Callithrix jacchus: one gene and its partner. The protein of the gene in region 2 purifies or fractionates together with the protein of the main gene of each other region. This does not show direct contact. Links are inferred from orthologs where the notes say so. Each region holds a gene or a part of one and is shown on either strand. Other genes may lie near its edges. The genes, in order: CANX and TOR1A.

Region 1 (15,265 bases), on a different chromosome or scaffold from region 2:
AAAGAAACCCTGGAAGACAAGTCAGGGCTGTGGTCACTTGGGAGAAGTTAAGGGGCACGATTCAGGGAGCCACTGTTTTAAATGTATTTTCCTATTCGAAATTTACATATACATACAAATGTGTGTTTGTCTGTATTATATATAAATACTTTAAAACGTAGTGTTTTCTGTAATCCTTTTATGCTGGAATGTATTACGTGGGAAATGTGTGTTTTGCCAAAGCATAATGATTTCCTGAATGAAAATGCACAGACAGGGTTGGTGGGGTGTTGGAAGGACCAAGTATTCTTAGGCCGTAACGATGACATGCTCCAGGAAGCTGCACACATTTAACGTGCAGTTCTTCCATCTGGATGGCATGGAGGGTCCAGGGGGAGGGCAGGTCACCACCCTGCCCTGTGTCATCAGACCTCCTGCTCCTCCCAGGGCCCGAAGGGATGGGACTCTGCCTGTTGATCTTTGAGCCTCCGCCTCCCTCTGCATCTGTTTCAGTATCTGGGTGTCCAGCCCCCTAAAGATGCCCACGTGTGTGCCTGAGCTCAGTGCCTCCTACAGGACATTTATAGACACTCTGAGCACAGGCAACCCCCTCACAGAGAGCAGCACCCAGGCCAGAGCCCTGTGGACAGACTCTGGGGAGGCCAGGGCCCCAAGGTCACCTTCCAGGGCCTGAGGAGCCCTCTGAGACCTGCACACCCACCCCAGAGAGCTCCTCCTCCTTCCTCCTCTATGCTCCCCAGTGACCTTTGAACCTCTGTGTTGCAGATTTTTTGAATATCTGGAAGGACCTGGACACAAGACCTCACCCTGGCCCAGCGACCATCTGGATAGTGAGAGTTTTAGGGACTGTGCTACATACACTTTCTGGACTTTTATATTGTTTAATTTTTAAAAAAATATTCTTGGCCGGGCGCGGTGGCTCACGCCTATAACCCCAGCACTTTGGGAGGCCGAGGCGGGTGGATCACGAGGTCAAGAGATCAAGACCATCCTTGATCTCTTGTGTTTTTAGTAGAGAGAGGTGAAACCCCATCTCTACTAAAAATACAAAAATTAGCTGGGCATAGTGGTGCGCGCCTGTAGTCCCAGCTACTCGGGAGGCTGAGGCAGGAGAACTGCTTGAACCCAGAAGACGGAGGTTGCGGTGAGCCGAGATTGTGCCATTGCACTCCAGTATGGGTAACAACAGCGAAACTCCATCTCAAAAACAAAAACAAAAAAAAAAATTCTTACTTTAGGCTAGGCGCAGTGGCTCATGCCTGTAATCCCAGCACTTTGGGAGGCCAAGGAGGGCGGATCACTAGGTCAAGAGATTGAGATCATCCTGGCCAACATGGTGAAATCCTGTTGTGGGCAGGCGACTGTATTCCCAGCTACGCGGGAGGCTGAGTAAGGAGAACTGCTTGAATCCAGGAAGCGGAGACTGCAGTGAGCTGAGGTTGTGCCACTGCACTCCAGCCTGGTAACAGAGCAAGACTCCGGCTCAAAACAAAACAAAATTCTTACTTTTTTTTGTAAGACAGAAGCTGTCATTGTAGCTTACATTTTATTCCTTAAGTAATTTTTCAATTGTTTTAGTTTTTTTTAATTTTTGTCCAATTATTCTGGAATTTTCATAATTTTGACAGATGTTTTATGCTTTGTATTATTTTCTTAATGACTTTTACCTTAGTTTTTAAAAAAAAATCCATGGTACAGTAAGTTATAGTAAGACATAGTATTTTTATTTTAGTAGTTTATATTCTGTACATATTTTCACATATGTGTTAATGTCCAGGCATGGTGGCTCACACCTGTAATCCCAGCACTTTGAGAGGCCAAGACAGGAGGATCATTTGAGCCCAGGAATTGGAGACCGGCCTGGACAACACAGTGAGACTTCATCCCTACTAAAAAAATATACACACACATATAATATTAGCTGGTCATGGTGGCTAAATTTTTATTTTGGCTTATTTATGGTGACTTATCTTTTATTTTTCATGAAAATGGGGTTTTACCATGTTGCTCCGGCTGGTCTCACACTCCTGGGCTCAAGAGATCCTCCCACCTTAGCCTCTGAAAGTGCAGGGATTACAGGCATGAGGAAGACAAGATTTTTTTTCCAAGATAGAAGACCCAATGAGATCCTTACTCCTGCTTCATCTTTTTTTTTTCTTTTTGAGACTGAGTCTTGCACTGTCACCCAAGCTGCAATGCAGTGGCGTGATCTCAGATCACTGCAACCTGTGTCTCCCAGGTTAAAGAAATCTTCCTACCTCAGCCTCCCACATAGCTAGGATTAAAGTCTCGTACCAGCACACCCAGCTATTTTTGTATTTTTAGTAGAGGCAGTGCTTCACCATGTTGGCCAGGCTGGTCTAAAACTCCTGACATCAGGTGATCTGCCAGCCTCAGCTTCCCAAAGTGCTGGGATTACAGGTGTGAGCCACCACAGCCAGCCCTCATCTCGCCTCTTGCTTGACAAACCTACACAACCTTTTTGACCTACATAGCTCTATTCCCCAGAGGATTCTGAGCTGTAGGAGGTAAAAGCCAGGGTCCTTTGTTCCTGCTTTCTACTCTGTCACTTTCATCTCCTGGGCCAATGAATTTGGCTGTTCCCAAGCAGGGCTCAGGACCAGGGTGTGAAATTCCAGAGCAGGAAGAACAAAGTCAGATATTAAAAAATGTCATCCTGATCCATTTAGTTCAGGTCCTTGATCCACTTGGATGCCTCTTTCTAAACAGGACCTGCACTGGGCTGTGGGGCTTCCTGCCTGCTGCAGGTTTGGTGGGACAGGTACCTTTCTCTGCCCTAGGACTGTATTTGTTTTCAGGTAGTCTGGCCAAAGCAATATTCGCTAAACTTAAGCATTCCTGGATCACCTTTATGAGTTTTGCTATTTTGGCATTCTACATTTAAGTTTTTCTTTACTTTTTTATGTAAAGTGTCTTCCTCCTTTTACTTATTTGTGATAAAATTCACATAAAATTCGTTTTGAAGTATACCATTCAGTGACCTTTATTATGATGTTGTGCAACTATCACCACCAGAGTTCTAATTTCTCCTCATACCAAAAGGAAGCCCCATTGTGTTTCCCCCCAACACACACACACAAACTCCCTCCTCCCACCCCTTGGTAACTTAAGCTGTTTCTATGAACTTGCCTATTCTGGAATTTTTTTTTTAAGAGGTTCTCATTAGGTTGCCTAGGCTGACCTCAAGCTCCTGGGCTTAAAGGGACCCTCTCACCTCAGCTTCTTGAGTAGCTGGGACTTCAGGTGTGTGCCAGCATGCTTGGCAATTCTGGATTTTTTTTTTTTTGAGATAGGGTCTCATTTTGTTACCCAGGTTGGGGTGCAGTGGCGTGATGTCGGCTCACTGTAACCTCCACCTCCTGAGTTCAAGCAATTCTCCTGCCTCAGCCTCACGAGTAGCTGGGATTACAGGTGCCTGCCATCACACCCAGCTAGTTTTTTTGTATTTTGGTAGAGATGGGGTTTCACCGTGTTGTCCAGGTTGGTCTCGAACTCCTGAGCTCTGGTAATCCACCCGCCTGTCTCCCAAAGTGCTAGTATTACTGGCACCCGACACGGCTCTCAGCCAACTTTTGGTATTTTTAGTAAAGAGGAGGTTTCAGCTTGTTGGCCAGGCTGGTCTTGAACTCCTGACCTCAAGTGATCAGCCTGCCTGGGCCTCCCAAAGTGCTGGGATTACAGCCGTGAGCCACCACGACCGGCCCCAATAAATCTGGATTTTTAATGTGTTATCTCCAAATTCTGAAACCTTGGCAACAAATGCAATTTTTAAGATTGTGGGTAGAGAAGACCGCATTCTATGGAAGCATAAAAGGAGGCCTGTGCTGGGCGCGGTGGTTTACGCCTGTAATCCCACCAGTATGGGAGGCTGAGGTGGGAGGACTGCTTGAGCCCGGAAGGTCTAGGTTGCAGTGAGCCATGATCGCGCCACTGCACTCCAGCCTGGGTGACAGAGCCAGACCCAGTGTTTAGGGAAAAAAAAAAAAAAAAAAAAGGAGGCCTGTAACAGAGACGCAACTCTCCAAAATGCCACACCGGCAAGTGGGGACCGCACAACCCAAGGTTTCGAGAAAGCTTCTCTTGGGAATGTAAAATACACTTACCCTAGGACTCCTAGTTTCTAAACCTCCTGATCCTAGAGGCCCAGAGGACCGACCAAGTGCAAAGCCCCCCCACACTGTTCTCAGCTCCTGCCGCACCGCACCCTCTATTCCCTGAGCGCCACGGTTCCTCCGCCTGCGGGACTTCGCCCTCGGTTACTTGTATGGCTTGCAAGGCCATTACCTGCCACTCCACCCTGTCTGGGCCCTGCCCGAGGCAAGCCTGGCTTCCAGCCCGCGCTCCCGAAGTCACGCGCAGACCCTCCTCCACGGCCCCATCGCACCCTCCCGAGATGCGTTGCTTAGGGTTGCGTCCCCCGCCGACACCCAGCACCGAGGGGCAGTCCCCGAGGCCACGCAGACCGCCCCCGCCCGCACGCAAAACCTCGCCCAGGGAACAGAAACCGCCACAGTCCCTGGCGGGTCAGGGTTAGTCACAAGGAACGAGGCGCGCATGCGCAGCGCGGGCTTTATTACGTCACTGCGAGTCCAGAACTCAAGGCTGGATCCTGAGCACGTCCCCGCTGGCGCCTGCGCGCTTGCGCATCTTCCTCTGTCGGGCGTGCGCTGCAGCAGCCGGAGTCACCTCGAGGTTGAGCTGCTTTTCCAGCAGGTGCATGCGCGCCGTGGTCTCAGTCAGCATATTCATGAGCACTTCCTGCTGCAGCTTCAGGTAGTTGCTCTCCTTCAGCAACACCTGGATCGTGGTCCACTGCTCCTGCGCCTTCCAGCCCGAGACGGTCGGCGCCAAGTGACCCTCCGTTGTCCACCGGCCGCCGCGGAACTCGAAGGCCTGGTTTTCGAGGCGTATGCGCGGCGCGCCGTAGCAGAGGCCCAGCTCGGCCTGGCGCTTGCTGTAATCCAGCAGGTAGGAGGTGGACAGGGAGGAGATGCGGCGCGCTGGCGGCCGCCGTGGCGAGAAGCGCCGCGAGATGTGATCGGCCCAAAACTGCCGCAGCTGCTCCCACACGTGGCTGGCATGGCTCGTAGTCAGGCACTCGAAGGTTGCCATGGCGAGTGCTGGGTGGACCTTGTAGGGCACGCAGGTGCTAGGAGGGGAGCCTCGGGAGTGCTGGCGACTCCCCAGCACTGGCTGCGCTCTTGCCTCGGGAACCTGGATGTCCAGAATGATGAAGGCGAGCCAGAGGGGCTGCTGGGAGGCAAGAGTATGAGTGAGCAGCTTGCTCAATACAGGCTGCCTATCAAACCTCGAGGCCGGTGGACATGGCTTAGCCCTGCAGCTAGGGTTGCGGCTGTGGCTAACCAGGTGCTGGCCACCGAGGAGCCCGTCCCTCCACGCTGCACAGGCAGCCGTCTCACCTAAATCACCTTACCCAAAGACCACTGAGTATCAGGCGCTGGGATAAATATGCAGATGAAGGACGCTAGGAGCGCCCTGTTCTCTTAGTTTCAGCTGGAAGGGTGAGGGGTAGGGAATGGTAGCAGAGACAAGTAGGTATTGAAAGGAGTAGGACTTTGCCAGGTGAGCTGAGGATGGAAAATGGAGAGCAGAAAGGCAGAGGGAAGAGCCAAGCAGGGTTGTTTGTTTATTTGTTTGTTTTTGTTTTTATAGACGTAGTTTCGCTCTTGTTGTCCTGGCTGGAGTGCAATGGCACGGTCTCTGCTCACTGCAACCTCTGCCTCCCAGGTTCAAACAATTCTCCTGCCCCAGCCTCCAGAGTAGCTGGGATTACAGGCACCCGCCACCATGCCTGGCTAATTTTTTTGGTATTTTTAGTAGAGATGGGGTTTCACCATGTTTGCCAGGCTGGTCTCGAACTCCTGACCTCAGGTGATCCGCCCACCTCTCCCTCCCAAAGTGCTGGGATTACAGGTGTGAGCCACCGCACCCGACAGGACTTTCATGTTTCAGATGTGAACACGAGCTTGGATAGGATTGGTGCTGAGAAGAGCAGAAGAGGAAGCTGGGAAGGTGGACCGGGGCACTATGTGAGGGTGCTGCACAGGCAGGCTCAGAAGCTTATACTTCTTTTTGTGTGTAAGAGGGAACTGCTGAAGGCTTACAAAGCTAGGGTTAGATCTGGATTCTGGAAACAATCTGGGAGGGTGTCTAGCATAGCCAACAGCATGATTGCCCTCATCATTCAGTCAACTAGCATATTCTCTGTGCCAGGTCCTGGTCTTGGAAGGAGGACCTGAAACAGCCTCTGCCTGCCCTCAAGATGCTCCTGATCCAGCTTGGAAGACAGATGCCTGTGTAGACCACGGTCCAGTGTGTTCACTGACATCCTAGGGTGTGTGCCATGGGCTAGAGCTATGCATAGGGCTCAAAGTAACAGACATGACAGATTGTGCACACTAGACATGACTTTTGTTCCAAACATATTATGTCCTAAGGGAATCCAAAGTCCAGATAACAGACAAGTCCCATTTTGCTCACTTCTCCCTGTACTCCCCTGCCCAGTAAGTGCTGATTCTATTATGTGAAAAAGGGAGCTATGTGTTTTTGTTTGTTTGTTTTTGTGATGGAGTCTCGCTCTGTAGCCCAGGTTGGAGTGCAGTGGCATGATCTCAGCTCACTGCCACCTCTACCTCCCGGGTTCAAGCAATTCTCCTACTTCAGCCTCCCTAGTAGCTGGGACTACCTGCACATGCCACCACGCCTGGCTAATTTTTTGTATTTTTAGTAGAGATGAGGTTTCACAGTGTTAGCCAGGATGGTCTCAATCTAACTTTGTGATCTGCCCGCCTTGGTCTCTCAAAGTGCTAGGATTACAGGCATGAGCCAACACACCTGGCCAAGGAGTTATATGTTGTTTTTAATTTCTCTTCTGCCCATGGACAGTGAGAAGAAAAAGAATTTGAGCAGGCTTCCCTCTTATACCTTCGTTAATTCATAACACACTTATCCCTCACGTATAGCTGGGCAGAGGCTGGATGGTACATGCCATCCCCAAGATGTGGTTTAGGGAGATGGTCTCTGGAAGTCCACATCTAGGCCCACCCTTGAGATTGCATCTTGTCAGAGGACCCTTCCCCATTAGTTCTCACTGTATGTTGTGCCTCACCTGGAAGATGTGGTGGAGTTGCTGAGCTCCTGTCCCAGGCCTGGCTCCGTCTCTGACCCACTCAGCTAGTGTCTACCTGCTATGACTCACAATGCCTCCAGGCCAGGCTATCCCAGGTCAGAAGGGTTGCTGAATGCTGAGCTGTCAGACAGACCCAGGGCTCTCTGCTGCATGCATTCAGTGCATCATTCATCACGTACTGTTTTCTAGGAACAATTCTAGGGAAGTGAAGAAGATATTGCCCTCATTAAGCTGTCATCCTTGGCAGGGGAATGAAGGGGGTGGTCATAAGCAGAGTCCAAGACAGGAATTTGTTCTAGAGGAACCAATAAGATAGTTTCTGAGGAAGCTAACAGAGGGTGTCATGGGTCAGGTTCCCTAGAAGCAGAGCCTAAGATGATCATTCTTGCTCGAGTGAATTATTGGGGAAGTGCTCTCAGGAGAAGAGGGTGAGGGAAGCAAGACAGGGCAGGGAAAAAGGCTAAGGCTGAGGCAGAGTGTGGTCTCACATAGAGACTAGCTTCCGCTTGCTGTCATGGAGAACTGTGAGCACAAATGGCATCACACTTAGGCCTCCTTAAGGCAAGGGAGCCAGTCTTTTGTATCCTTCTACATGTTAGTTATGGCAGGGGCAGCTAAGAGTTACCAGGCAGCACCTAGAGCACCTATGGGATGAGTGCACCACCAGTGATAGGAATTTTGGTGGAGCACCAACTGAGCAGGGAGGAAGATAATAGAATAGATGATGGCAAGGTGCAGTGTGGCTCACACGTGTAATCTTAGCACTTTGGGAGGCCAAGATGGGTGGATCACCTGAGGTCAGGAGTTGGAGACCAGCCTGGCCAACATGGTGAAACCCTATCTCTAGTAAAGCTACAAATACAAAATTAGCCAGGCGTGGTGGCATGGGCCTGTAGTCCCAGCTACTCAGGAGGCTGAGGCAGGAGAATCCCTTCAGGCTGGGAGGCAGAGGTTGCAGTGAGCCGAGATTGCGCCATTGCACTCCATCCTGGACAAAAAGAGCAAAATTCTGTCTCAAAATAAAAAAAGGAATAAGAATAGATGAAAATGAAAGGGCAGACTGGCCAACATGGCAAAACTCCACCTCTACAAAAAAACTATTAGCTGGGCATGGTGGCATGCGTCTGTAGTCCCAGCTACTCAAGAGTCTGAGGTGGGAGCATCACCTGAGCTCAAGAGGTTGAAGCTGCAGTGAGCAGTCATTGTGCCACTGCACTCCAGCATAGGTGATAGATACCCTGTATTAAAAAATTCAAAAAAAAAAAAAAGTGCCGGGCACCGTGTTTCACACCTGTAAATTCCAGCATTTTGTAAGGGCAACAAGAGTGAAACTTCATCCCCCCAACCCAAAAAAAGGAATGACTAAATGAGTAAGAATGCCTAGGCCAGGCATGGTGGCTCACGCCTGTAATCCCAGCACTGGGAGGCTAAGGTGGGCAGATCACAAGGTCAGGAGATAGAGACTATCCTGGCTAACACTGAAACCCTGTCTTTACTAAAAATACAAAAAATTAGCCAGGTGTGGTGGCATGCACCTGTAGTCCCCGCCACTCAGGAGGCTGAGGCAGGAGAATCACTTGAACCCAGGAGGTAGAGGTTGTTGTCAGCCAAGATCACATCACTGCACTCCAGCCTGGATAGCAGTGAGATTCCATCTCAAAACACACACACACACACACACACACACACACACACACAAAGACTAGTTCTGATATGTACAGTGAAGAAAACAAAATTGAAATACAGAAAGTGATTTGGGGACAGGGTGAGGGTAGGAACTAATTTAGTCATTGTGCTCAGTGAAGGCCCTTGACGTTCATGCTAAAACCTGAACAATGAGGAGACCCCAGTCCCTTGAAGACTTCGGGGTTCAGGAAGCAAGTAGCTGGGCATGTTTGAAGGACAAGTGCCATGTGTGCAGACAGTGGAAGGAAATGAAATCTGTCTTACCTGCTAAGCCCACCCACTTGACTGCAGGGGACAGACCCAGCTCCAGGAGAGCTCAAAAGCTGGAGCAGAGCCCAGTGATAGTGCCACCTCCTAGGAAATTTCTGTAATAGTTTTATTGAGGTATAATTGACATAATCAACTACATATATTTCTAATGAATAATGTGAAGTGTTTTGATCATTTGTTATGTGAAATCATTCCCAAAATCGAGATAATGAAGTTATCCATCTGGAGTTATCCATTACCTCTAGAAGTTTCCTCTGTTCCCATCACTACATACTAATTTGCATTTTCTATTTATATGTGTATATATGTGTGTGTGTGCGCGTGCGTGTGTGTGTGTATTTATTTATTTATTTATTTTTTGGACAGAGTCTTGATTTGTTGCCCAGGCTGGAGTGCAGTGATGGGATCTCTGCTAACTGCAGCCTCCGCCCTCCCGGGGGAAAGTGATTCTCCTGCCTCAGCCTCCCAAGTAGCTGGGATTACAGGTGCCTGCCACCACACTGGGCTATTTTTTGTATTTTTAGTAGAGAAAGGGTTTTACCATGTTGGCTGGGCTGATCCTGAACTCCTGGCTTCAAGTGATCTGCCCACCTTGGCCTCCCAAAGTGCTGGGATTACAGGCATGAGCCACTGTGCCTGCCTCAGCATGTATTTTTTTGACATTGGCTTCTTGCAGCATAATTATTTTAAGATTTATCCCTGTTGTTGTATTTATTAACAATTCTTTGCTTTTTATTGCTGAATAGTATTTCATTGTATGGAAACACCACACAATGTGTTTTTCCATTCAGCTGTTGATGCACATTTGGGTTGTTTCCAGTTTTGGAGCTATTGCAAATAAAACTGCCCTGAACATTTCTGTTGTCTTTGCCTGGACACATGCTTTCATTTCTCTTGAGTAAATGCCTAGGAGTAGAATGGCTGGGCCATATGGCAGGTGCTTGTTTACCTTTTTATGAATCTGCCAAACTTTTTCCAAAATGGTTGCACTGCATCCCCACCAACAGTGAGTGAAAGTTTCTGTTTTTCCGTATCCTCGCCAACACTTGGTTTGGTAAACATTGTTTTTTAAAAAAATTTGCTTAATTAAAAGTATTGGTGGTGTTTTTGAGACAGGGTCTCACTGAGGTGCCCAGGCTGGTCTCAAACTCCTGGGTTCAAGCGATCCTCCCACCAGGGCTACCCAAAGTGCTAGGATTACAGGCAGGAGCCACAGAGCCCAGCTAGTAAGCCTTTTTAATTTTAGCCATTACGGTAGCGTGTCTAAATTGTAGGGGTTTTGTTGTTTTAAATTTTTAACAGCAGGCTGGACGTAGTGGCTCACGCCTGTAATCCCAGCACTTGGGGAGGCCGAAGCGGACATATCACAAGGTCAGGAGTTTGGGACCAGATTGGACAACATGGTGAAACCCCGTCTCTACTTAAAAAAATAGAAAGATTGTGCCACTGCACTCCAGTGTGGGTGACAGAGCGAGACTCTGTCTCAGAAAAAAAGAAAAAAAAATTTTTTTTTAACAGCAAGCAGATTCTTAATAAATTTGTTTTCTTATTTTTTGAGATGGAGTTTTGCTTTTGCTGCTCAAGCTGGAGTGCAATGTTGTGATTTCAGCTCACTGCAAACTCCACCTCCTGGGTTCAAGCAATTCTGCCTCAGCCTCTCAAGTAGCAGGGATTATAGGCGTGCGCCACCATGCCTGGCTAATTTTGTGTGGTTTTTTTTTTTTTGAGACGGAGTTTCACTCTTGTTACCCAGGCTGGAGTGCAATGGCGCAATCTCGGCTCACCGCAACCTCCGCCTCCTGGGTTCAGGCAATTCTCCTGCCTCAGCCTCCCGAGTAGCTGGGATTACAGGCACGTGCCACCATGCCCAGCTAATTTTTTGTATCTTTAGTAGAGACGGGGTTTCACCATGTTGACCAGGATGGTCTCGATCTCTTGACCTTGTGATCCACCCGCCTCAGCCTCCCAAAGTGCTGGGATTACAGGCTTGAGCCACTGCGCCCGGCCTTAATTTTGTGTTTTATTAGAGATGGATGGGGTTTCACCATGTTGGTCAGACTGGTCTTGAACTCCTGACCTCAGGTAATTCGCCTGCCTCAGCCTCCCAAAGTGCTGGGATTATAAGCGTGAGCCACTGTACACAGCCTGCAGTTATTAAATGCTAGATAAAAGTCCTTTGTTGGATATGTTTCAAAAGTATTTCCTCCCAGTCTGTGGCTTGCCTTTTAGGGCAAAAGGTTTTAGTTTTGATGATGTCCAATTTACCACATTTTTTCCTTTTTCAGATTTTTTTGTGTCATATTTACAAACTCTTTGCCAAACATAAAGTTACTAAGATTTTTCTCCTGTGTTTCATTCTAGAAGTTTTATAGTTTTAGCTTTATATTTAGGTCTGTGCTCCACTTTACGTTAATTTTTGTTTATGGTGTTTTGTTTTTTTTTTCCACACAAATGCCAGACTGACTCAGCACCATTCACAGAAAAGACTGGCCTTTCCCACACTAATTGCAGTGGTGTTTGTGTTATTTATCACATGACTGTGGAGGTGTGGCTTTGCTCATCATGTGACTATGGATGTGGCTATTTCTGTGTTCTGTGTTCTTTTGCCTGGTCTGTTTATCCTTGCACCAATACTGTTGATACCTGGTAGTATAAATCTTCCAATAATATGTTTAAGATTGCTTTGGCTTTCTAGGTCCTTTGTATTTCTATATAAATTTTAGAATTCACGGCCAGGCACTGTGGTTCACGCCTGTAATCCCAGTACTTTGGAAGGCCAAAGCGGGTGGATTACCTGAGGTCAAGAGGTTGAGACCAGCCTGTCAATGTACTGAAAGCCTGTCTCTACTAAAAATACAAAAACTAGCCAGGCATGGTGGTAGATACCTGTTATCCCAGCTACTTGGGAGACTGAGGCATGAGAATCACTTGAACCTGGGAGGCCGTGGTTGCAGTGAGCTGAGATCACACCATTGCACTCCAGCCTCGGTGACACAAGGAAATCCTGTCTCCAAACAAAAAGAAAAAAACAGAATTCAAATGTCAGTGTTCACCAACAAACCCTCATGCTCATTATTTAAAGCTTTCTCTTCTTGTCATGAGGACACTCGAGCTCAAATCAACCCCAGGAAGGTCGCCTGATGGACATGGAATTGGAGCCCAGGAATATTTTAACCAAGACAGTAATTCATATTCATTCTTTCTCCACAGTGGGTCTATGTTATTAAAGTCAATTTTCAGTGAGGTGTGGTGGCTCATGCCTGTAATCCCAGCACTTGGGAGTCTGAGGTGGGCAGATCACTTGAGGCCAGGAGTTCAAGACCAGCCTGGCCAACATGTGAAACCCATCTCTATTAAAAATTTAAAAAAAAATTAGCTGGGCATGGTGACATGTGCCTGTAATTGCAGCTAATTAGGAGGCTGAGGCAGGAGAATCACTTGAAGCCAGTCTAGGTGACAGAGGGAGAATCTGTCTCGAAAACAACAACAACAAAAAACATATTTCAGACAGATCATAGGTGACCACCAGGAATGGTATACAACTTCCCTTATTTCATGGACTCCCAAAAAGAGAAAGCTACAAAACCCAAGGAAGTCGTTCTTTTTTCTTTTTTGAGACAGAGTTTCACTCTTGTTACCCAGACTGGAGTGCACAATCTCGGCTCACCACAACCTCCGCCTCCTGGGTTCAAGCAGTTCTCCTGCCTCAGCCTCCCAAGTAGCTGGGACTACAGGTGCGGCACCACCATGCCCAGCTAATTTTTGTATTTTTAGTAGAGACGGGGTTTCACCATGTTGACCAGGATGGTCTTGATCTCTTGACCTCGTGATCCACCCACCTCGGCCTCCCAAAGTGCTGGGATTATAGGCATGAACCACCCCGCCCGGCCTCTTTTTCTTCTTTTTTTAGTTCTCCCCTACTCCTCAATGTCCTTGTTTGATTATTTGAATAAGAGAAGTTAGGAGAGATGATGCGTAATTCCCACTTAACATGCATGTTAACTCCTTTCACAAGAAGACCTTGATTTTGAGGACATTTAGTGAAGACTTCAGAATTTAAAGATTTACAATTAAAAAAAAAATGGCTCATGGTTCCTTTGAGGATCCCCATCTAAGTCACTGAAAAAATGAAGTTTGGAGCCCATGAGGAAGGGGAGGGTGTGCCACCAGGTCCAACAGGTCTGAGTTGAAGGACAAAGTTTTTTCTGATGGCAGAAAGGAAAGGAGAAGAGCACCTGAAGATTTTTCCACATCACAAGCATTTGTACCACATTGGGGCTGTGAATCACAATGAGTGAGAATGTCAGTGGGTCTTTTCTGGCAAAGAGGAATATCCCCCAAACCAAGGAAGCTAAATCTTGTTTTTCCCCATGGAAGTTTCAGTCTGGCTTCTGAGATATTCTGTTAGTGATATTTGCCCATCCCTGAAACAACATGGTGTTTGTTCTCTGTGCTAATACAGCTTTAAAAAAATGTTGACTGGGCGCAGTGGCTTATGCCTGTAATCCTAGCACTCTGGGAGGCCGAAGCTGGTGGATCACTTGAGCCCAATTCATGACAAGCCTGGGCAACATGGTGAGGCCTCGTCTCCACAAAATATACAAAAATTAGATGTGGTAGTGGGCACCTGTACTCCCAGCTACTCGGGAGGCTAAGGTGAGAGCATCACCTGAGCCTGGGAGTTGGAGGCTGCCATAAGCCTTAATCACACCACTGGATTTCAGTCTGGTGACAGAATGAGACCCTGTCTCAAAAAATAAAAAAGATAAACAGGTATTTTTCTTTTTTAAAAGCACACACTTCACTCAGCACCTCCATTTTCTCTCTTTTTTGCAAGCTGCCTTTTCAGGAAGAACAAATTTACCATCTCCTCTTTGGTTCATCATTCATTTTGCCTTTTTCTTTTTTTTTTTTCTTTCGCCCAGGCTGGAGTGCAATGGTGCAACCTCCACCTTCCAGTTGCAAGTGATTCATTCTCCTGTCTCAGCCTCCCGAGTAGCAGGGATTACAGGTGCCTGCTACCACACCCGGCTAATTTTTGTATTTTTAGTAGAGACGGGGTTTCATCGTGTTGGCCAGGCTGGTCTCCAGCTCCTGACCTTGTGATCTGCCTGCCTTGGCCTCCTAAAGTGCTGGGATTACAGGCATGAGCCACCGCGCCCAGTGTTTTTTTCTTCTTTAGCTTCTACATCATTTCTTGGTGACAGGAATACATGGGATGTGGAGCAAAGGGGTGGCATTTGTGGTAACCTAGGCCAGGGCCCATTGCTTCTGTCCCTAAGCTGCTCTCAAGCAAACGTTCCCTAAAATTAATTCCATGGATGTTCCTCGGAATCTGCAGGTACTCTGTGAAAAAAAAAAATAAATTTTCCATTTTAATTTCAGTAAAAAAAAATCTCAAAAGTCACTTTGGGAAGCTGAGGCAGGTGGATCACTTGAGGGCAGGAGTTCAAGACATGCCCAGCCAACATGGCAAAACCCTGTCTCTACAAAAAATACAAAAATTAGTTGGGCATAGTGGCACATGCCTGTAATCCCAGCTACATGGGAGGCTGAGACATGACACTTGCTTGAACCCAGGATTACAGGCGTGAGCCACCATGCCTGGCCCCACTCACTTTTTTACACGGCTTAGTCTGCCTGATCAAACAACCATATAGTGGCTAACATTTCAAAATGTTAACCTGACAGATAGTCTTGTTTAAATACATATAGGCCAGGTGCAGTGGTTCATGCCTGTAATCTCAGCACTTTGGATGGCTGAGGCAGGTAGATCACTTGAAGACAGGAGTTTCAGACCAGCTTGGCCAACATGGTAAAACCCCGTCTCTACTAAAAATGCAAAAATTAGCTAGGCATGGTGGTGGACCCTGTACTACTCAGGAGGCTGAGGCAGGAGAATCGCTTGAACCTGGTAGGCAGAGGTTGCTGTGAGCTGAGATCACGCCACTGCATTCTAGCCTGGATGACAGAGTGAGACTCTGTCTCAAAAAAAAGGTCAGGTGTGGTGGCTCACACCTGTAATCCCAGCACTTTGGGAGGCCAAGGCGGGTGGATCATTTGAGGTCAGGAGTTTGACACCAGCTTGGCCAACATGGTGAGACCCCTGTCTCTACTAAAAAGACAAAAATTAGGCTT
Region 2 (14,894 bases):
CCTAAGACCTCTGCAGCAGACCTGGCAGACAGGTCCCTCCCATCTGTCCATTGTTCTGGCTCTAATACAACTCTGGTTGTGGAATCCTTCACCATCTCTCTGCTGGCATCAGCCCCAGCCTGCCTTGTGCCACATCTCAGCTTGGCTCACTGCTAGAGTCCCCCCAGCCACACCATCAAGGCTGAATCACAGTGAGACCACTGGCTTTGGATTTGAGTCCTTGGTTCCCACAGGAGATGCTTGACTTTATACTTGGGTCAATCCTCTCAGTTACATTGTGGAACCAATTGAAATCCTAGGACGTGCTCGTCCTGGAGAGATGACACGGGCCCAGGCTGAACAGTCAGCTTGCAGGTTCTGTATTGCCAAAGAAGTGAGAGCATTGTGTACTAGGAATGCTGGAGTTTTTGAGGATATGTTTTTTTTTAAATAATGTTTTTACTTCTGAATCTTAAATAATGGAAGTATAGGACATTGCTTATTTTAAAACGAGGGAAGGACACATCATGGAATGATTGCTTATTCCTTTCTCAGATACTCTTAAAACCATTTTTTATTGTTAAATTTGTGGTAATACATGGTCACAATGTGGATCAAACAAGGTCAGTCTAAAGTTGTGGCAGCTCCTGGGTGTCATCTGATGGTACCACCCTCTGTGGCAGTGCCAGGCTGGACTGCCCTGATCCCTGGGAAGTGAGACTTAGATTCCAGCCAGTGTGAGTCACTGTATCTCCCATAATCACAGCACAGCTGCAGACACAATCAGAACGTGCATTTTTACAAAAAAATATGGTAGAATTTGTGACATGGAAATGCCTTATAGGGTGTCACACTTAAGTCTTTAAAAAACACCAAGGTGAGGCTTACACTTTTTACTACGTATCCTCAAAGTGAAGCTAAGTTACACTTTTCTAACCTGTTGGGCATCTGGTCCAGAGGAGACAAGATTTTCTCTGTTTACAATGATGCAATAAATACGTGTTCGCCACCTTTGGACTGCTGTTGCTGATTTGTAACTTGAAAAGGCCATGGTTGATCATGACCCCACCTCCCCCCAGCCTTGTAAGATGTGGATGGGAGCTTTATTGACCTACCGAATATGAAATAATAAAGCCCAGATTTTATCATGTGAAATGTCACTTGCTAACTTCTTTTTCTGGTTTATTTGGTATCAAAGTTCAAAATGAATTTCAGCAGCACAGCTGTTGAGACTTGCCATAACCTGGACAGGCGGGTGGGCAGTCAGAGTGATACAGAGGCAATATTTACCTTAAATACTCTTACCCCAAATAGAAGTTAAATTAGCTGATGGATATTTCATCAAAGATATGGACTTCCAACAAATACTTTCTCCCAAAATTAATAGAGGAAATTGAGGTACTAGTAAAGTATGACTCACCTCTGACATCCTGAACCTGAGCCCAGGTGAGGAAACCTAACCACTGGGTCTCACTGCCTGAAACTGGTAAACTAATCTTAGTTGTGCTAATCTGGTCTCTGCTTAATGACACATAACCTGGTATCATCTCACATCAGTGAATAGCTAACACTCACCCTCTTTCAAAGGATTGAGGATTAGCAGGTTTACTAGAAAGTTCAAACCTGCATCGCCATCACCTCACCCACTCCCTTAGGAATTTCTCAACATAAGGTACTGAATTCCCAGGAGACCAACTTTCTAGGTCTTGTTCTCAGTCTAATGCAGTTCCTATTCCACCCCACACTGCCTCATCTACAAAGACAGAACCTTCCAAAATTGTCAGGGGACCCCTGTGTTCCCCAATTAGGGACTTCTGATGCCAGGGCCAGTCTTCAAATGTATGATTAGACCTAATCTGACTCCCAGGGGCAGAACAGGCCGGCTGCAGCTCAACATCCAGAACTTTCTAACAGGTGGAACCATCTTTAAGTGGCCTGGGCTGCCCTAGGGGAACCCCATGCAGGCTGGGGAGCCATAAGGCAGAGGAGTCTTGCATAAGACCTGCAGCTGAGGCCACCAACTTGTCTCTGTGCCTACTAGAAGCAGTCCCTGCAGCACTCTTGCAGCAGCTGTAACCATGGGAGCACAGCCCAAATGCAGGGACACAGGCGTGTTGCCTAACAAGGTGTGCTTAGCTTAGTCTACGCCACCGTTCTTGCTGGCATCTCAGCTGTACTTGAACTCTGTGGCTGGACATCAGGAGCTCCAAGAACCCCCGATGGAGGGCAACTTCCCAGATCACTGGGTGAGGGGACAGAGGTGTCCTAGGATCCTTAGAGCTCTGTGTGAGACTTTGTTTCATTCCAACCTGGATTGACCTGCTAGGTCTTCACTGGTAGCCTCACCTCATAAGGCCTACACCCTCTTCAAAAATGTACTCAACCAATGACACACGCAACATTTTATTGTAAAATGGTAGCCATTTGCATTTATAAATAAAGACACAGTTCTCAGCATCCTCAGAAGGGGCAGCTAAGCTTTTTAGGTTTTGGGAATTCTGATTGAACATAACAGAAAATATGATAAATTAAGATTTAATATGGCAAAATTCACATAATTTAGATTCCAGCAGAGAGCACATGTGGCTCATTCAGGAATGGACAGTGAAGGGCCGCCTTCTGCAACACCAGTGACTGGGAAGTGACAAGCTGCAGATGCTTTTCTAACAATTGCTGACAATGTTGCCAAGATCATTCCCACAGCTCCCACTGTTGTGAAGGTTAAAACCCTTGGTGAGGCCATTTCAGGCTTATCTGCAGTGCCTAAAGGTCTCCTCTTACCTACTTGTCCTTCATCTAAACACTTCATTGCCCTGGCAGCGCCTGCTGGGACCCTCCTGGGACAGAGCTGGCTCGTGCTCCAGCCACATCCCCAGCGATGCCCTCCTGTGGAACCGATGCCATGCACGTGCGCTTGGGCTCATTTGCAGTAAAGATACATCACAGTCTATGTTATGATGATGGGAACTTAAAAAACACACACACAAGGCCAACAACCCAGAATCTGAGCAGTCTCTCACAATGTTAAAAACCATTTTAGATAAAGTTACCACATTTTCAGTAAAACTTACTCATCCTTCCTTGAAACAGAAACACTTGGAATTAAAACATAATTTTTAAAAAATCATGAGCCCTGCGATGAGTGTGCTGGGAGCTGGCTCCTTCCTTCTCTGAGGGCTCGGGAGGCCTCCTGTCCTCGCCCATGGTCCCAAGGTGGCCTGCAGGCACCAGGGATGGAAACCATGCCCGGAGAATTCCTGTCACATCAAACAGGAAACATTCACTTGAGTCCTCCTCAGGGAAAGGAGCAGGGGGCAGAGGCATGGGAAGGACTGAGTGTGGAGTTTCCTCTCCAACTCCAGGCAGTGACTCTCGCTGTCAATCATGGCTGTCAATCATCGTAGTAATAATCTAACTTGGTAAACACGGTTTTGCAGCCTTTATCTGAGAAAACTCTCTCCTCTTTGGGGAAAAATGTCATCTCCTCAGCCACTCTGCTTACAATGTCTTCATCAATGTCATAGCCTCGGGACTGCATTTCGACTCTGATACACATTTTTAGGTGTTTGTATTCCAGGGGGAGGAAGGGAACAAAATAATCAATGAGGTTCCGGTCAATTAAGCTGCTGTGCCAGAAGCCACCTGGAAGAAAAAACAAGTGCTGTTCATCCACATCCACCCGCCCGCCCTATACATTTCTCCTGGGCTCACTCACCACCCCACCCACACACGTCTACTGGGGGTCACCCACCTACACACCCAGAATCTGAGCAGTCTCTCACAATGCTAAAAACCATTTTAAATAAAGTTATCACATGTTCAGTAAAACTTATTCACCCTTCATTGAAACAGAAACACTTGGAATTAAAACATAATTAAAAAAAAATTTTTTTTAATGTTTTAAAATTTTAAACATGTGGGACTCCCATCCGTCCCACACATGTCTCCTGGGGGTCACCCTCCCATCCATTCCACACACATCTACTGGCTGTGCCCTCTCCCTTATGAAGCTCCGGACCAATGAGGAGCAGATGTTAACAGGCACCTGCACACTGAGATGCTTCTGTGACAGAGTAGAAAGGGACACCCTCTTTTACACTGCAGCTGGGGGAGGCCTCCCAAGGTGTGACTTAGAGATCGCAGGTGGGAAAGAAGGTCATGAGCCCAGGGTCCTGGGGCCCAGGAATAAGCAGAGGTGCGGAGTGGGGAAGGCCGAGTTCCACAGAAAGCAGAAGCAGGAAGAGTTCCGGGAACGACTCTACCAGCCACACCCCCTTATTTGGGAAAATTTTGACTCTCCTGAAGTTTCAGCAGCTGGACCAGCCACAGGGTAGAAGCCTGCTGCCACTGCCACAGTGCCCAACCCCTATAGAGCATGTGGGCACCAAAACTAGCCTCGGGAGTGCTGAGCCCACACTGAGCTCCCCATGAAGGCCTGGCCTCGGCCCTGTTTTCTCCCCTGAGTGAGGACAGGCTTTGCACCTGCCCCGTCTACTACTCCTGGAGCTCCTGACCCAGGACATCCGCTCCCAGCCCCAGATGACACACACACTGCATCGTCCACCAGCCCAAGGGTGTCTTCCCGTGAGCTGTTTCCCTTCTGCTCTGCCAGGTAATTCCGGGACCCAGTCCCCAACCCAAGCTCCTCCTCAATCACCGGGTTAATGCTTTTCATGCCCAACAGTGCTTTGCACACAACCAGTGCTCAGTAAATGTGTGGCCGACTGGATAGAGTGGAGCTCGTGGCCAGGGAAAGAACAGGACCAACCACTGAACAGGAACAAGGGGCAGTCTTGCTATCGAAAGCTCACGTGCGAGGCTCGTTCTTGGAGGCCTGCTCTGTGCCAGCCATGCCCTGGGCCTGGGGACACAGCTGAGGGCAGCCAGCCCTCACGGCTTTACCACGCTAGGGCAGGAGACACCCGACAATTGTGCTAGGAAACAATCTCAGATGGTGCTGGGAGCGGCAAATGCTACACAGAACAGACATGATGGCGGGAGGCAAGGGCCAGGTGCTCCCATGAAGCCAGGCTGGGCAGGACCTCAGGGCAGTGCCTGAACGACTAGGACCCAGCTACACGGACCAGGGAGTGTCAGCAGAACAGGTGACCTCAGGCAGCCCTGAGACTTTACAAGCATCTCCTGAGGACTCCCAGGTTTGCCCTCCTAGCCTGAAGGCCTCTCTGGAGCTCCACCGCTCTGCTCTGATGTCCCAGATGCCATTGCTCACTGAGCTCATCCATCCTTCCTGCTGTCACTTCCCTTCAATAGCAGGGCCATCCTTCCCATCACTCAAGCCAGGTCCTTGGTTCTTCTCTCATTCCCATGTACAATTCTGCAGGAAGTCTTACAGGTTCTACCTTCAAAACACACCCAGAACCCGACCGTGTCTCTCCACCACCACTGCTTTCGTGCTGAGCTCCCTGCCCCTGTGACTGTGGGTCTGTCCTCCACCCAGTGGCCAGCAAGCTCCTGTGAAGACCCCGTCAGATCAGAGCACCACCTGCCTTGGACCCTGCAGCCTCTCTCTTCCACTTGGAATAAAAACCAAGGCTCACATGGCCCACAAGGCTTTCCATGGTCTATATCTCCACCCCAAATCTCAGCTCTTCTATCACCTCCTGTTCCCCTCCTGTTTATCCTGGACCACTCACAGTGACCCAAGCACAGGCCCCCTCAGACCCCTGGAAGTGCTGCTGGCTCTGGGGCATGCTTTCCCTCAGACATCCACATGGCTCATGCCCTTGGGTCAGCCCAAATGCCACCCTCAAAGGGAGCTTTTCCTGACCACTCTATTAACGTAGAGCCCATCCTTACCCTGTACCCCAATGTCTTTCTTGATTTTTTCCCCTCCTAGCCCTGAGGGGAAAGATATATATGTTTATGTGTGTCCATGTGTGATGTGTGCGTATGTATTGCACGTATATACACACATGAACACATTAAACACATAAACATATGTATCCCCCACCATCTGATACTCTCTTTTCCCTTTCTTCTCATTTCTTTCTTTCTTTTTTTTTTTCTGTCAGAGTCTTGCTGTGTAGGCAAGCTGGAGTGCAATGGCACGGTCTTGCCTCACTGCAACCTCCACCTCCCAGGTTCAAGTGATTCTCCTACCTTGGCCTCCCGAGTAGCTGTGATTACAGGCACTCGCCACCACACCCTGCTAATTTTTGTATTTTTACTAGAGACGTGGTTACACCATGTTGGCCCAGGCTGGTCTTGAACTCCTGACCTCATGATCCGCCTGCCTTGACCTCCCAAAGTGCTGGAATTACAGGCAAGAGCCACTGCACCCGGTCCATTTTCTTTCTTTCTTATCACTAGGATGTAAGATCTATAAGGGCAAGAATTTCTTTTATTTTCTTTGAGATGGAGTCTCACTCTTGTTGCCCAGGCTGCAGTGCAATGGCACAGTCTCAGGTCACTGCATCCTCTGCCTTCCAGGTTCAAGCAATTCTCCAGCCTTAGCCTCCCAAGTAGCTGGGATTACAGGCATGTGCCACCATGCCCGACTAATTTTTGTATTTTTAGTAGAGACGGGGTTTCTCCATGTTGGTCAGGCTGGTCTTGAACTCCCAACCTCCAGTGATCCACACACTTTGGCCTCCCAAAGTGCTGTGATTACAGGTGTGAGCCACTGCGCCTGGCCTAAGGGCAAGAATTTCTGTGTTTGTTCACGGCTATCCCCAGTCCTAGGTAGGATTCCTGGAACCTACCAGATGCTCCACATACGTCTGCTGAATGAGTTCAGCCATCTACCCAGGGTCACAGTCAGTCTGTGGGCCAGGGCTACGCGACTCCCAAGTCTGCACTCCGGAATGCCGTGTAACCTCCACTGCGTGGGTTCTGGGCCACTAGCCTCATCCACCTCAGCATTTCTACAGTTTCTGCGGCATGTGTGCATGCTTTTTGGCAAGCCAAGAAACTGTCCAGCATGTTACAAAATACTTGTCTTGCCTCAGTAGTATTCCACTTGCACAAATTGACATACAGTGCCCCACGCTGTTCACTAACTGTAGCATGAACTTCCTGGCAAGTCTGTTTCAAATGTGCCCTTCTGTTCTGTCATCTCCAGAACTTGAGGAGCAAAGGTGTGAACAGCCCTGTACAACCCACAAGTGTCAGCTGGTGAGTCGGCCTCCATCAAGCTGGCTTTCTACCTCCCTGGGTTCAAGGTCAAAGGTCTCATAAGATTCCCAGGCTGCCTGGCCCTGGGCAAGCTGCCATATATCTTTGAGTCTCAGTCTCTACCCTACAAGGTATGGGGAAGACTGAGTGAAATCCGCAGGCAGTGTTTCACACGGCACCCAGTACAGAGTAAGGGTCCGGCCACGATTTGGCTGTTGCTCTTGGGCAATGCAGAGAAAGGGAGTAACTAATGGGTCATCCCTCCCCTTGAGCTGCCCACGGCAGCCTTCCTTGCTCAACCACTGGCTCTTTCTTCTACGAAGAAAATCACGTAGCTGAAGAAAATGGGGGAACTGACTGGGCGTGGTGGCTCACACCTATAATCCCAGCACTTTGAGAGGCCGAGATGGGCGGATTGGGCAGATAACCTGAGGTCCGGAATTCAAGACCAGCCTGGCTAACACGGTAAAACCACGTTTCTACTAAAAATACAAAAATTAGCCAGGTCTGGTGGCAGGCGCCTGTAATACCAGCTACTTAGGAGTCTGAGGTGGAAGAATCACTTGAACCTGGGAGGTGGAAGTTGCAGTGAGCTGAGACAGCACCACTGCACTCCAGCCTGGGCAACAAGAGCTAAACTCCATCTCAAAAAGAAAAAAAGGGAGGGGGGAACTAATCTTCAAGATCTCAACGACCAACAATTTTCCTCATTACTTAAAATAGCAGGCCAGGTGTGGTAGCCCATGCCTGTAATTCCAGCACTTTGGGAGGCTGAGGCAGGAGGATCACTTGAGTCCAGGAAGTCAAGACCAGCCTGGGCAACATAGGAAGACCCCATCTCTACAAAAAGAGACGGCGGCACAAGTCTGTGGTTCCACTTACGTGGGTGGCTGAGCCTAGGATGTCAAGACTCCAGTGAGCTGAGATCACACCATTGCACTCCAGCCTGAGTGACAGAACAAGATCCTGTCTCAAAAAATAAACTGGGCGCAGTGGCTCAAGCCTGTAATCCCAGCACTTTGGGAGGCCCAGGCAGGCAGATCACCTGAGGTCAAGAGTTCAAGACCAGCATGGCCAACATGACAAAATCCATTTCTACTAAAAATATAAATATTAGCCGGGCATGGTGGTGTGCACCTGCAATCCCAGCTAAAAGGGAGACTGAGGCACAAGAATTGCTCGAACACGGAAGCTGGAGGTTTCAGTGAGCCGAGATCTTGCCACTGCACTCCAGTCTGGGCAATAGTGAAACTGTCTCCAAAAAAATAAAAATAAAATAGCACTTTTCAAACATCAGTGTTCATTAAAGTTACCTGGAGTTTGTCAACAAAGATTCCCCTCGTGAGTTCTGACTCGGAAGGGGACTGAGAATCTACATTTCTACCCAGCTCCCAGGTGATGGTGATGGTGACCCTAACGCTTTCACAATTAGGGTGCAGGATTAGGAACCAGATGGGACTGGTGGTGGACAGCCCTACTCACTGTTTTTGTTATTGAAAACCGACACAGATAAGGCGTGTTCAATGTCTTTGAGCTTGATGTCTTCCCTCTGCTTTCCACTCCTCCAGAAATCTAAAGCCACATCTGTGATCCTTTCTGCTCCAGCATTGCTGCAAAACAGTTCCAGTGGGTAAGGACGGGGTTTTCTCCCAGAGCTCAGAGGCTCAGGCTCGAGGCCCGTCCCTCATGTCCTAGCCCGGACCTTACCTGAGAAATATAAAGATGGCTTTCTGGTAGGAGACCCCATCCACCAGGTCGTAGTAGTCAAGGAAAGGCTTGATGGCATCTATGAGACCTGCATGCATCTTATCCATTTCATCGAATATGAAGATGGACCTCGCACAGGCGCTCACGTTGCCTCGAATCCACAACTGTAACTGGTCCTGAAGTAGAAGGGGAAAAGCCAACACAAAGTTCTCAGCCAGGGCCATCGGGCACCTCCTTCTGCCACTGAGAGCCACAGCTTCACTTACAGACCACTGTGCCCTCAGCACCAAGAACTTCACACGTGCAAAATCTTCTCTGTTCCTAACATCCCCGTGGAGTGGGCACTCTCATACACATTTCACAGATGAGGGAACTGAGGCACAGAGAGAGCTTACTCCACTTGCCCGACTATAAAATGAGTATATGGCAGAGCTGGGACCTGAACCCAGTCCTGCCTGACGCCAAAGCCCAACACTTTGATTCCTGCACTGCAAGACACCACATGGATGCTGAGAGCTGCTGCTCTTTTGTCACCAAAGAGGTCATGTGGGATGTCAGGAGGATACTGATCTTTATTTTAAAAGGGGGCGGGGCTGGGCGTGGTGGCTCACACCTGTAATCCCAGCACTTTGGAAGGCTGAGGCAGGCAGATCAGTTGAGGTCAGGGGTTCGAGACCAGCCTGGCCAACATGGTAAAACCCCGTCTATTAAAAATACAAAAATTAGCTGGGCATGGTGGCAGACACCTGTAATCCCGGGTACTCCGGAGACTGTGGCTTGAGAATCGCTTGAACTCAGGAGGCAGAGGTTGTAGTGAGCTGAGATCGCCGCACTGCCACTCTAGTCTGGGTGACAGAGCAAGACTCCATCTCAAAAAATAAAAATAAAAAATAAATAAAATAAATAAGGATTCACCCAGACCTGTTAAGCTCCAGCAGCCAAGGTTTTCCTACTCTGGTGACCCAATTTATACGTGGTAATAGGAAACGTACTGAGCACTCACTATGGGCATGACAATATTCTAAGGACTGTTCATATATATATATATATATATATATTTTTTTTTTTTAAAGACAGGGTTTCACCATGTTGGTCAGGCTGGTCTTGAACTCTCGACCTCAGGTGATTTGCCCGCCTTGGCCTCCAAAGTGCTTGGATTACAGGTGTGAGCCACCACGCCTGGCCCATATATATATTTTTTGAGACAGAGTCTCACTCTGTTGCCCAGGCTGGAGTGCAGTGGTGTGGTCCTGGCTCACTGCAACCTCTGCCTCCCAGGTTCAAGTGATTCTCTTCCCTCAGCCTTCTGAGTAGCTGCGATTACAGGTAGCTGCCACCACACCCAAATAATTTTTATATTTTTGTAGAGACCGGGGGGGTGGCGGGTGGGTGTTCGCCATGTTGGCCAGGCTGGTCTTGAAATCTCGACCTCAAATGATCCCCCAGCCTTGGCCTCCCAAATTGCTGGAATTACATGCGTGAGCCACCATACCTGGCCTGTTCACAAAACATATTACTGTGACCTCCTAAAACCCATCATAGTAGTTATTGTTGTGTTCCTTTTACAAATCAGGAAACTGAGGCACAAACGAGTGAAGTAACTTGCCCAAAGACACAGTTATTCTTAGTGAAACCTCAGTTCTACCATGACCAACTCATCCTGATTTATCTAGAATGGTTCCTGTTTGTTTGGGACAGGGTCTCCCTCTGTCGCCCAGACCAGAGTGCAGTGGCTCTGTGCTCACTGCAGCCTCAACCTGCCAGTTTCAAGCCATCTTCCTGCCTCAGCTCCCCAAGTAAGTGGGACTACAGGTGCGTGCCACCAAGCCTGAATAGATTTTTTGTATTTTTTTAGTAGAGATGGGGTTTTACCATGTTGCCCAAGCTGGTCTAGAACTCCTGAGCTCAAGTTTCAGCTTCCCATAGTGCTAGAATTATAGGGGTGAGCCACCACATCCATAGAACGTTCCTGTTTTAGTACAGAACCACTAGACAGTGGGTGACCCACCTGCTTACCCAGACAGAGCCACTAGATAGTGGGTGACCCACCTGCTTACCCAGACAGAAGGGAAAAATGTATCTGGGCAGTGGCTCATGCCTGTAATCCCAGCACTTTCAGAGGCTGAGACAGGCGGATCACCTGAGGTTAGGAATGTGAGACCAGCCTGACCAATATGGAGAAACCTCATCTCTACTAAAAATACAAAATTAGCCGGGTGTGGTGGTGCATCCCAGCTACTCAGGAGGCTGAAGCAGGAGAATCACTAGAACCCAGGAGGCGGAGGTTGTAGTGAGCCAAGATCGTGCCACTGCACTCCAGCCTGAGTGGTAACAAGAGAGAGGCTCTATCAAAAAAAAAAAGAGAGAGAAAAAGAAAAACGTGTCCACACTTTTCCTATGAAGAGTCCGGGATAAATAACGGATTGCGGCTGGGTGCAGTGGCTCATGCCTGTAATCCCAGCACTGTGGGAGGCCGAGGCAGGTGGATCACCTGAGGTCAGATCAGGACCAGCCTGGCCAACATGGTGAAACCCCATCTCTACTAAAAATACAAAAATTATCTGGGTGTGGTGGCAGGCGCGAGTAGTCCCAGCTACTTGGGAGGCTGAGGCAGAATAGCTTGAACCCAGGAGGCAGAGCTTTCCGTGAGCCAAGATCACGCCACTGCACTCCAACCTGAGCCACACAAGATCTCAGTCTCAAATAAAATAAAATAAAAAACTGATTGTTTTGCCCATCTTGCAGGGTCTGTTACAAGGATCTACAAGGCAACAGTTAACAACTGTTTGTAATATGCACCAGGCACATTACACACTTGACAGAGCTCCCTGGATTGTTACAAGCAACACTTTGTAAGTCAGAACCTATGTCTCAGATCAGGCAACTTTCCCAAGACTCTGGAGCTAGGAAAGTTAGGACTCAAATCCAGGTGTGTCTGCTGCCAAAGCCCAAGCTGCTAATCAGTGAGTTCAACCATAAAAGCAGTTTGTGGCTGGATGAGGTGGCTCACACCTATAATCCTGCATTCTGGGAGGCTGTGGTGAGTGGATCACTTGAGGTCAGGAGTCCAAGACCAGCCTGACCAACATGGGGAAACTCTGTCTCTACTAAAAATACAAACATTAGCTGGGTGTGGTGGTACACATCTGTAGTCACAGCTACTTGGGAGGATGAGGTAGGAGAACCACTTGAACCCAGAAGGCAGAGAATGCAGTGAGTCAAGATGGCATCACCGCACTCCAGCCTGGACAACAGAGTGAGACTCTGTCACAAAGAAAAAAAAAAGCAGTTTGGAGGCAGTAGGTTCAGCCAATTTAGGACTTGCTACATATGATTCCTCTTTGACAAAATAAATGAGATGTACCCAGGCGTGGTGGCTCACGCCTGTAATCCCAGCACTTTGGGAGGCCGAGGCGGGCAGATCACCTGAGGTCAGGAGTTTGAGGCCAGCCTAGTCAACTTGGCAAAACCCCATGTCTACTAAAAATACAAAAATTAGCTGGGTGTCGTACCACATGCCTGTAATCCCAGCTACTCAGGAGGCTGAGGTAAGAGAGTTGCTTGAACCAGGAGGTGGAGGGTGCAATGAGCTGAGATCATGCCACCGCACTCCAGCCTGGGCGACAAGAATGAAACTCCGTCTCACGCACACAAAAAGAAAACAAAAAGAAAGACAAGGAGTGAGATGTGATGATCTCTAAGATGGATCTGATCACATCCACCCCTAAAATTCCATGACCGTAGGTACTCACTGGACCTGTTTCCAGAACCCACCACAATGCAGCTTTGATGGTGTTAACTGCTCCATGCAGCCCAAACTCTCTGTAATTTCTACACCTTTCAAAGGGGAACTGAGACGTGAACCATTTCAGGACTTGTTCATTTCAACACAGAATTCCCAAATCTCATCCCACAACAAAGAGATCCCAAACCCCACGACATCCAGGAAAGGGTCCCAAACTTCCATCCTCGCCTTGTACAAGGTGATGTTTGAGGCATGTGGAAAGTGCAGTGTGGCCACAAACAGGTGGACATAGTCACTGTTGAGACCACCCTCGTAAATATTCTCCGCGATGATCTTGCTGACGAAATTTTTGCCGGTGCCCGTCCACCCATGCAGGGAGAGGGTGAGAGGTTTCTTGGGCTTTGGGTTGTTTATGAAACCAAACACAGCATTTAAGATGATTTTCTTTGCAAGATGCTGTCCAAAGAGCTTGTTGTCCAGATCCTTCTGCAGCGCTGGAAAGACAAAGGCAATCGGGAGTGGGGAAGAAAGAGTGGCAAAAGGTAGCCACATCTACAGCCCATGAGAAAGCCGGCAAAGCCGCCTAGGCGCTCTTCAAGCACCTTGCGAAACCTTAAGTACTACGGGCTGTAAGCTCCTGGCCCAGTGCGGACGGCGGTCCAGGGCCTCCCTTTGCTGGTCCTGCCTATTCTAAAGCCCTGGCCCGGCTCCTTCCCGAAAAGGGCCTCGGTGCCCATGCCACAGCCACCAGTTTGCACCCCTAACTTCTGTGCTGCTCCTCCCACCCCAAGGCAGAGCGAGGAAGGGAGGCAGTTTGGCCGCTCCTGTCGGCTCCGGAAGAGTCCTCACCATCCTTCCTGTCTCCCGTTCTGCTAGGAGGCAGAACCCCCTTCGGAGGGAGGTTACCACCGGTTCCCCCTCCTGCCCAGCGTGGCGCGAAGCAGCCCAACCTGCAGACCGGCTCCTCTGGTCACCGACTGAAGTCTGGCCCGTCTGTGGTCGTGGCCAAGGAGCCAGGCCTCATCCTGAAGGCGGGCCGCTCGGCTTCCGGGGTTCAGCCCCCGTGGACTCAGCTCTGCCCAGGCCCGGCCGTCCTGGGATTTGACCCCTATCCGGGCCGGGCCCTAGTGCCATCCCCCATCCCCCAGCCTCCATCCCCAGGTCCTGGCCTGGCCCCAGTGCCATCGCCCAGCCCCAGCCCCAGCCTCCAGCCCCCTCCCCATCCTACCCTCCCGGCTGAGGCTCCGCTTCTGGCCGCAGCACTCGGCGAAGAGGCAGTAGAGACGCGGGTAGATGTAGCCGGTGAGGACGCCGGCCAGGGCCAGTCCCAGGCTGATGGGCTCTACCGCCTGCACCACGGACGGCGCCAGCAGCAGCAGGCCCAGCGCAGCCCGGCTCAGCTTCATGCCCGGACCCGCGCCGCCCTGCGCGTTCTGGCGCCGACCGCGCACTAGTACCGCCGCCAGACTCGCGCTTCCGGTTCCTCCTGCCGCGAAGGCCATCTTTCTTCAGGGCAGCCCTCCTACCGACGCCGGCGGCCGCCATCTTTCTTCGGGACAAAGCCTTGTTTTGCTTCCGGAAGGTCTGTTCTGCACTGCCCTTGTCGGCCACGTGTTTTTGTTTGTTTGTTTAAAGTAATCGAGGTTGGCCAGGCGCGGTGGCTCAAGCCTGTAATCCCAGCACTTTGGGAGGCCGAGGCGGGTGGATCACGAGGTCAAGAGATCAAGACCATCCTGGTCAACATGGTGAAACCCCGTCTCTACTAAAAATACAAAAAATTAGCTGGGCATGCTGGCGCGTGCCTGTAATCCCAGCTACTCGGGAGGCTGAGGCAGGAGAATTGCCTGAACCCAGGAGGCGGAGGTTGCGGTGAGCCGAAATCGCGCCATTGCACTCCACCCTGGGTAACAAGAGCGAAACTCCGTCTCAAAAAAAAAAAAAAAATTAAAGTAATCGAGGTTATTTTTGCGGGCGTGGTGGCTCACGCCTGTAATCCCAGCCCTTTGGGAAGCTGAGGCGGGTGGATCCCCTGAGGTCAGGAATTCCAGACCAGCCTGACCAACATGGTGAAACCACGTCTCTACTAAAAATATAAAATTAGCCAGTGTGGTGGTGTGTACCTGTAGTTCCAGCTACTGGGGAGGCTGACACATGAGAATCGCTTGAACCTGGGAGGCGGAGGTTGCAGTAAGCTGAGATCGCACCACTGCATTCCAGCCTGGGCGACAGAGTGAGTCTCTTTCCTCCCCCCGCCAAAAAAAAGGTAATGGACTTTTTTTTTTAGAACAGATTTACAGAAAAATTGAGAAGATAGTACAGAGAGTTCCCA

Evidence for each region.
Region 1: the proteins of TOR1A (region 2) and CANX purify together in Homo sapiens (affinity purification with mass spectrometry; 4 studies listed by BioGRID and IntAct, counting the BioPlex papers as one, with this or other methods). This does not show direct contact. The link is inferred for Callithrix jacchus from reciprocal best matches to the Homo sapiens genes TOR1A and CANX.

Annotation. Positions count from the first base shown.
Region 1 is NC_133503.1:71,965,846-71,981,110, reverse strand, and holds the start of CANX (calnexin), read left to right. Parts: upstream 1-5,274; intron 5,275-5,329; coding exon of another isoform or gene 5,330-5,347; intron 5,348-6,255; 5' UTR 6,256-6,376; intron 6,377-15,265. Other genes in the region: CBY3 (sperm annulus positionning complex subunit Chibby3), read right to left, coding at 4,618-5,274, 5,330-5,347. UniProt on the Homo sapiens protein: Calcium-binding protein that interacts with newly synthesized monoglucosylated glycoproteins in the endoplasmic reticulum. It may act in assisting protein assembly and/or in the retention within the ER of unassembled protein subunits.
Region 2 is NC_133502.1:178,405,180-178,420,073, forward strand, and holds TOR1A (torsin-1A), read right to left. Parts: upstream 14,036-14,894; 5' UTR 13,972-14,035; coding exon 13,794-13,971; intron 13,060-13,793; coding exon 12,794-13,059; intron 8,997-12,793; coding exon 8,821-8,996; intron 8,724-8,820; coding exon 8,596-8,723; intron 3,622-8,595; coding exon 3,371-3,621; 3' UTR 2,367-3,370; downstream 1-2,366. UniProt on the Homo sapiens protein: Protein with chaperone functions important for the control of protein folding, processing, stability and localization as well as for the reduction of misfolded protein aggregates.